2 linked regions of the Caenorhabditis elegans genome follow. The protein of the gene in region 2 purifies or fractionates together with the protein of the main gene of each other region. This does not show direct contact. Each region holds a gene or a part of one and is shown on either strand. Other genes may lie near its edges.

Region 1 (3,755 bases), on a different chromosome or scaffold from region 2:
ATGTCAGAAATTCTATCAGAACTGGAGAGAAAATATGAAAATTGTTTTTTTTTTTCAAATTTTTTTACAGTTTTTCTCCAGTTATGTTGAAATTTATAATATTTTACAGTTTTCTTGTATTTTTTAATTTTTTATTTGAGTTTATCTTTTTTTTTTAATCGATAATTTATCGAAAAACTACAAAAAATCAATAAAAATTCCGCAACAACGAAAGTTTAAAACTACAGTACTCTTTAAAGGCGCACATCCTTCTGCAACTAAAAAAATTGTCGCTTCGATACCAGCTACCGTATTTTTAGCGAAAAAATCGCATTTTTCACGATTATTCTTCGATTTTGTCTGAAAAATTGGTAAAAACTGAAAAGTTAGGCTCCTGGACTTTTTTATTTAGAATTTTTCTGAAAAAAAAAAGTTTTTGCCGAATTTTATGCCAAATATTGTAAAATTTTAAAACGTTTTAAATTACTACCTAATAAAACTGAAAAAATAAAAAAAAAAGAGAACTCTACGAAAGGAAAATCAAAGAAAAAACTAATTTTTTGGGTTTTTAGAATATTTGATTTTTTTAAAACAATTTCAGTGTAAAAGTAAGAAATAGACATTGAAATTTACAAAAAAACGGCATTTTTTTTCGAAAAAAAAAAGTGATTTTGCACTTTATAAGATGAAGATAGTAACAAAAACAGACAACAATAAAATGAAAAAACTGCAAAAAATCAATTAAATAATTCCCCAAATCTCCTCAAGTCCACTGGTCACTTTGGCACAAGTCAACGCTGCACTCAATGGATAATTGCTGATCTTGGTCTCAGAATCGTTGTAATCGACGACGATCTTTCCACGAGCAATTCCACCGATAATAAGGACCAGAGGCTCGTCGGTTTCCGGTGCAACAAGCTTATTAGCCATTGTTAGCTCAGGTACATTGAACGACATGAGCATCTTACGGGATCCCACTGGAAGATGGTTCGACACTGGATTCTTCACTACTGACATCAGCTTTTGAGTGGTTTCGGCGGCTCGAATGGAGAGTTTGTGCAGGAGTTGGACTGAAAATATGGAAAATAGAAAATAGGGGGATTTTGCATAAAAATACCTAATTGCAAGAAAAGTCACAAAAAATCCAATAAAAAGTATTTTAAAGCATGTTTTTGAAAATTGGATTTTTGTGCTCTTTTTTGTGAATTTTTTTTTGATTTTCAGACTATTTTGGGGTATTTTGAATCCGGGTATTTTTAAAAGGAAAAGGGTATTTTTAAAAATTTATGTTTAAATTTGATAAAAAATAATTTTTAAAAAACTCGAAAAATTGTCTTTTTTCTTATTTTACATACAAAAACACTTCAAAATATATTTTTTTCAATTTCCAATAAACCAAAAACTCACCCATAAGTCCACAGAATCGATCAAAAGTTCTTGGAATTCTGCACTGTGGTGAGACATCAACGAGCACATTCTTGCTCGTTCTAAAGAAGACACGAAGCTTTCCGGCTCTGTTAAGCGGACTATCAAGTAGATTCAACAAGCATTGATGTAGGATATCTGGCCGATAATCAGCCGGATCTTTTTTCTGTTTTCTCAGAAAATTCGCGTGTTTATCACTGCTCAAAATTGCGTATTCTCCACCGACTTTTGCAGTTTCAAGACTACATCCTTCCAGTACAACGTACAAAATCTTCTTGTCCTCCAATTGATTATCCGTCTTCATGCGCTTCGCATTTGGCGGTGCAACTGTATCGTACTCGTGGGACATCTGAAATTCGGAGAAATTAATTTTTTTTGTCATAAAGTAATTTTTTTAGGACCAAAAATCGAATTTTCAATAATTCTGATGAAAAAAAAATTATTTTCTGAATAATATTGTGATTTTTTATAGTTTAGCACAAATTTTAAATAAAAGCTGTGGGAACAACGATAGGTCGTTCTGTAAAATTTTCGAAAAAATGCCGCTTTTTTGGAAATAAAATTGAGTTTTTCGACTTTTGGAAAAATTTCTAATTTTCCATATCTATCAATATAGGAATATACATAATTTTTGATAAATTAAAAGTTTTCACTTCTTTTTTCGTTTTTCGATATTTTTTCGTCAAAAACACTGAAAAATTTCTGCGGAGAAAATGTAAGTCGAAAATCAAAAAACTCAAAAACTCAAAAACGAAAAAATTTGTAAATTTGAACGGTTTTTCAAAAATTTCAGTGAGTTCCTTTTTTTGTCGAATTTCCCCTAAAACATGAAAATTTAACTAAATATTTTATTTCGGGATTTTTGAATTAACGAAAAATGGTTTTATTTTATTTTTTCGATTTTTGAAGCTCCTGTAAAGATTTTTATAAAACAAGTTCAAAAAATAATATGATGGTTTTTAAACCGAAAATAATTCTCACAGAAAAAAAAACTCAACAAAAATATAAATATCGAGATCAATCTTCATTGCAAATAGTACAAAAAATATCAAAATTACTTCAAAATAGTCATAAAAAAGTCGGAAACAACTCGCGGGAGCTGCAACTTCGAGATCGAGTCCTCCACAATTTTATCATTGATATGAAGCCAAACTTTTCTGAAAAAAAAGAGGATTTGAGGTGAATTTTTCAGCTGAAAAAAAAACCCACCGAAACGAGGTATTTGTCACATTTGTGCTCTCGTCTGCCTTCAAAATTCCCATTTTAACGAGATGATCCAATTCTCGGAATACGTAGACATCACTGCTCACGTTCAGTGGAGGATAGTGTTGATTAACGAGTTTTTTGAATTCTGAAATTACGGAGAAAATAGATTTTTAAAAAATAAGCTTAAAATTTTCATGTTTTTTCTCATCAATATAATCGAAAATTAGATTTAAAAAAAATCATATTTTATGGTTAATTTTCTGAACATTTTCTTAATTTTTCGGAAATTCAAAAAATCGAAAAATTTTTCGTTTTTCAATTTTTAAAAATTCGAAAAATCGAAAATTCCGAGATAAATTTTAAAAAATACCTAGAAAAACGTTTCGATACGAAGTTTTTGGCGCCAAAAGTGGTCCATCTGACTCTTTATTCTGCACAAGTCTCCAGACACAAAGAAAAACGCATTGTGCTCGAACTGTTTGATCTGAAAATTTGAAAAATTTTTAGAATTTCACTGGAATTATTAAATTTTTGAGCCGAAAAAACAGTATATAATTAGTTTTTTCTAGATTTTACCGGATTTTTTTAATTTTTCAGAAAAATTTCAAAAGCTGTAAAGATTAAAATAGGTTTTGATTGAAAATCACGATTTTTGCATGATTTTTTACATTTTAAAGTTGTTTAAAATTTGAAATTTGTTCCGAAAAAAAAAGGTAAAAAATTACTTTATCAGCTCAATTTCCAGATTTGAAATCAGAATTTTTAATTCTTTGCGGAATTTCAAAAAGTGAACTTGAATTGTTCATTTTTTGTTTTCAAAATTAGAAAATCGTGGGTTTTTTCTGCCTTTTTCAAAGTTTTAGCAGAATTTCTACCTTTTAAAATCAACAATTTTCCATTATACGAGGGAGAAGTCGTCTCGACAATTTTACGAATCTGTTTGCTGATTTCCTCGGGTTTCCACGTGTCTTCTACGTCACAATAGTAACCGAAAAGCATCAGGAATTGCGCGGCCAATTGTTTCAGAACGACGTAGTGACTTGTCTGAGAATATGGACTTTAATGGGGGTTGAAAAGCCGAAAAATATGATTTTATTTGTTTTATTTTCATTTTTGGAATGAAAATGTTATCCAATTTAATTATC
Region 2 (3,755 bases):
AACCTAATATCTTGTCCAATGGGAATGATCTGTCAATTTGGAAGGTGCCTGCCAAATGGAATGCCACCAAACATGATGATGATGAATCAGATGTATGGAAAATGATTATTCGAGTTTTTGTAAAGTCTGGTTTGGTTATTTTTTAAATGTAAATATATATTTTTCTTCTAGTCAATAAATTTGTTATTTAAAAAAATTCAAGCTTAAATCTCACAACCAGGGAAGATTACACTTTTATTCACAGACATACCCGAAAACAATGGTTGCTAGTAAAATATGAATATGCATTTTTGACAGGAAAATTAGTTTTTATGCAAGCTTGAGCTTTAATCTTCGTCGTCTTTCTCATTGAGCCCCATTTTGAGATCTGTGTAACCCGTTGGAAGGGCAAATTCAACGATTTTCTTGCCCTCGGATGCGATAGAGATTTTGATTCGATAGTTGCCCTGCAAAAAGTTCAATTTGGGAAGACTCGCCAAAAATCTAGAGCTAACCTTCATCACATCTAACAATGAGATTCCTAAGAAGCTTGGAGACGCAGGAAGTTCCAACGTGGCATTGAATGCATTTTTTGTCTGAAATTGTTAAATTAATAACCTAAATATACGATCAGAACCAAAATACCTCGAGCTCTTTCAATGTATGAAGTCCTTTTTGTTGAAGTGTTTTACAAATATCCACCGGGAAAAATGAGCTCATCTCGAAGTTGCTGAAATGTTTAAAAAAATTAGACAGAATTAGGAATTTTTTAGTACTGTAAATAAATAGTACCAAAAATTGGGTCAAAAACTTTCCGAGATGCTGTAAATAGGAAAAAATTTGCAAAGACAATTTTCTGGCAGAAGTGTATAAAAAGTTGTCAACTATAATATTTCCAGAAAATTGCAATTGCATTCAGGATGTCATTCAAACCAGGGGTGGGCAGCATTTGCCGTTTTTGGCCGTTTTTCTCGATATTTTGATAGAATTTGCTTAATTTTCAAAGTACGTTTCATTTCAGGATGCGTGCAATGTTGTCGATTAAAATTGAAATTCTGAATTTTCCAAAAAAAGTACAAAACCACAATTAGTCGAAAGTTTTCGGCTATTGCCGTTTATCCAACAATTTAGGCAAATCGGAAAAATTTGCCGATTTGCCGAAAAATTGTTTGCCGCCCACCCCTGATTCAAGTGTTCATCTAAGCAAAAGAAAAAAGCAAAAACCAACCACAACGACTCGGGAACAATGAACATATCTGAATGTCCGTTCAAACAAATATGATCACCATCCAACGCGACACTGACAGACACTGCTCCGTCTTTGACAACATCGAAATCTCGAGATGTATCTACTTCTCCACTCTTGATCACAAACCATCCTGGCATCACCACATTCACTTTTCGCTTGTAACACGACGGCTTCATATCATGATCGTAGACATGGATTCGGATATTTCGAATTTCCACTGGGAGAGTTTCTGAAATTTCAATTTTTTTCAGATGAAATAATGACTGTAAAAACTTTTCAAAAACTAACCGTTTCCATATGAATCCACTGTAATGACATTATGCACTCCATCCCGACATTTTGATGAGTTTATTCCAGATGATAACGTGACAATAATTATTGAGAGAATGGTTTGGATACTTAACCGCATCTGAAAATTCGGAACTTGAAAAAAATCATTGATCCAGAAAATTGAGATGGAAAATAGAGAAACGCGAAGGGAGAAAAAATATTTGGAAATCTGGTTTTTTAGGCTACAATTTAAAATAACGTCGGTCAAAGGCAGGGTTGATGTTCGGTTTGATAAAATATTTTCAAATTTACTTTCTATGGCAAATAACATAAAATGAAAAAGAAGAAAAGGTCAAAAAATCAAAACGAATTTATGTGTAGATCAAAAATTATTAGCACACATAAAACTAGACCCGCTAGGAAATCGATTCAGATTTTGTGAACGAGAGGAAAAATACATGCTAATTAATGCAAATTTTTAGATGGGGGTGGATAGCTGGTTGCCCAAGTCATACAATCTAGAAAAATGGTATAATTTTTGACAAACCATTTTCTGATCTAAAGATTTCAGAGAAATGCTACTGCATCAGTTTAATTTTTGGTGTAAAATGTTTTTATTTGAATAGGATATCATTGAATGCAAGTGAAATAGAAATTTAAAAAAAAAACGTTGGCGGATAGGTTTTCAAAACAAAGCACTCCACCTAAATACAAGATTAGATAATTTATCTGTTTTTTGTGTTATTCCGCTAACCAATATGTTCAAATGGCCAAGACTCCTACAAAAACAAACAATTCGTGACGTTGGTGAAGTTTCAAAAAACTACGGAAAAACATGGTCAATTGCTGAGGTTCACAGCTATTTTTTAGCAAACGGATCATGGTTAAAGGATTAAAGAAAAATATTTTCACAAATGTTTGAAAATCGCATTATATAAACCTAGTAAATATCAAGACAATATCTACATGCAAAATGAACAGATCGCGAAAACCTTATCAATATTGTTTATCAATGGGTCCAAACTACTCGAATACTAGTTAATGTGTTCTCTGTAACAATAGACTATAGAATTTTATTTGTTAAAAATTAGATTTCCTGCCAAAAACCAATGACCTCACAATTTCTGCCGTCGTCAATTGTCTCATTTGTCAATTGAAAGTGATATCATTCTTGATTTCTGATAAAAACCAGTTATTGGGGAATTCGAGAAAAAGTGAATAAGATTTCAATAAGAAATTTGAATTTGAAAAAATGAATTGAAATTGGACTATTTCATTTTAATTTATTGATAGAGCATTAAAAAACATTTGATAGCTTTAACTTCAGTTGAAAATTTTGAAAAACGCTCACGTATAGTTTGAAAGTTGAAAATTGATGGAAAAAATTGACAAATAATGCGACATTTTTTCCTGTAACTTCCGACTTTCAGACAATTTTTGAGCATTTTTTAAAACTGTTCCAACTGAAATTAAAGCAAATGTTTTTTCTAGACTCTGTAACTAAATTTTAATAACAAATATTGGCTCATTTCGTAAAAATGCTTGTCAACGATTACCAATTTGGTGTGAACTAACTTGGAATTGATGTCCGCGGGAATTTTTGGGTTAATTATTTTTATCACTTTCTCATTTTATTTTCTTTCAAAAATTCGAAATTTCAGCCCCCAAAGTCACAAAATTCTGTCGACTCATTTTTAAATATTTCAAATCAATTTTTCCAACTAAAGATCGGTTTAAAGGTTTTTTTGATGCAGAGCAAAATACCCACAAGTGCTCAAAATTGTTATTTTCTAAAGCCAAAAATCCAAAAAACACATTAGTAAATAATATAATAACTTGTAAACTTGATGTTGATCATGATCATAGCCGATGCAATCATAGACCAGAAGTTTAGAGAACGAGAATTTACGGTGACAAGTGATTGGTAGTCAGCTGCTTGTGCACTCGTGAAGATGAGTCAATGAGTCTGGGTACCTACTTGTTGGTCCAATATGATTGCGGATCAAAAAGATACGATTCTCGTGACTTTTTTTTTCAAAACTCTGAAGCTTCTTTGTGGAAAACTCTTAAAAATAATTCCAATGATTTATTATTTTATGATTTTTTAGTTAGAAGGATAAAAATTTTGCTGAAAATCCACGATATCCATTATAATTCCCACTTGTGAAAGAGACAGTCATTGTGTTGGAGCTGCTGTAATAGTTTCCCAACGATGAAGATCGCGTCAGAGAAACAATCAGTGATCCATTTGAGTCAT

What was found. Proteins that work in one complex are often made in the same cells at the same time.
Region 1: the proteins of T05A7.1 (region 2) and emg-1 fractionate together in Caenorhabditis elegans (co-fractionation; one large-scale study listed by BioGRID). This does not show direct contact.

Annotation. Positions count from the first base shown.
Region 1 is NC_003281.10:10,647,517-10,651,271, reverse strand, and holds emg-1 (Ribosomal RNA small subunit methyltransferase nep-1), read right to left. Parts: upstream 1,754-3,755; coding exon 1,387-1,753; intron 1,050-1,386; coding exon 721-1,049; 3' UTR 364-720; downstream 1-363. Other genes in the region: orc-4 (ORC (Origin Recognition Complex) subunit), read right to left, coding at 2,459-2,561, 2,614-2,755, 2,981-3,094, 3,486-3,654.
Region 2 is NC_003280.10:4,676,100-4,679,854, reverse strand, and holds T05A7.1 (uncharacterized protein), read right to left. Parts: upstream 1,640-3,755; 5' UTR 1,638-1,639; coding exon 1,517-1,637; intron 1,458-1,516; coding exon 1,208-1,457; intron 710-1,207; coding exon 625-709; intron 576-624; coding exon 495-575; intron 447-494; coding exon 327-446; 3' UTR 220-326; downstream 1-219. Other genes in the region: T05A7.7 (EB domain-containing protein), read left to right, coding at 1-105; T05A7.3 (CUB domain-containing protein), read right to left, coding at 3,607-3,755.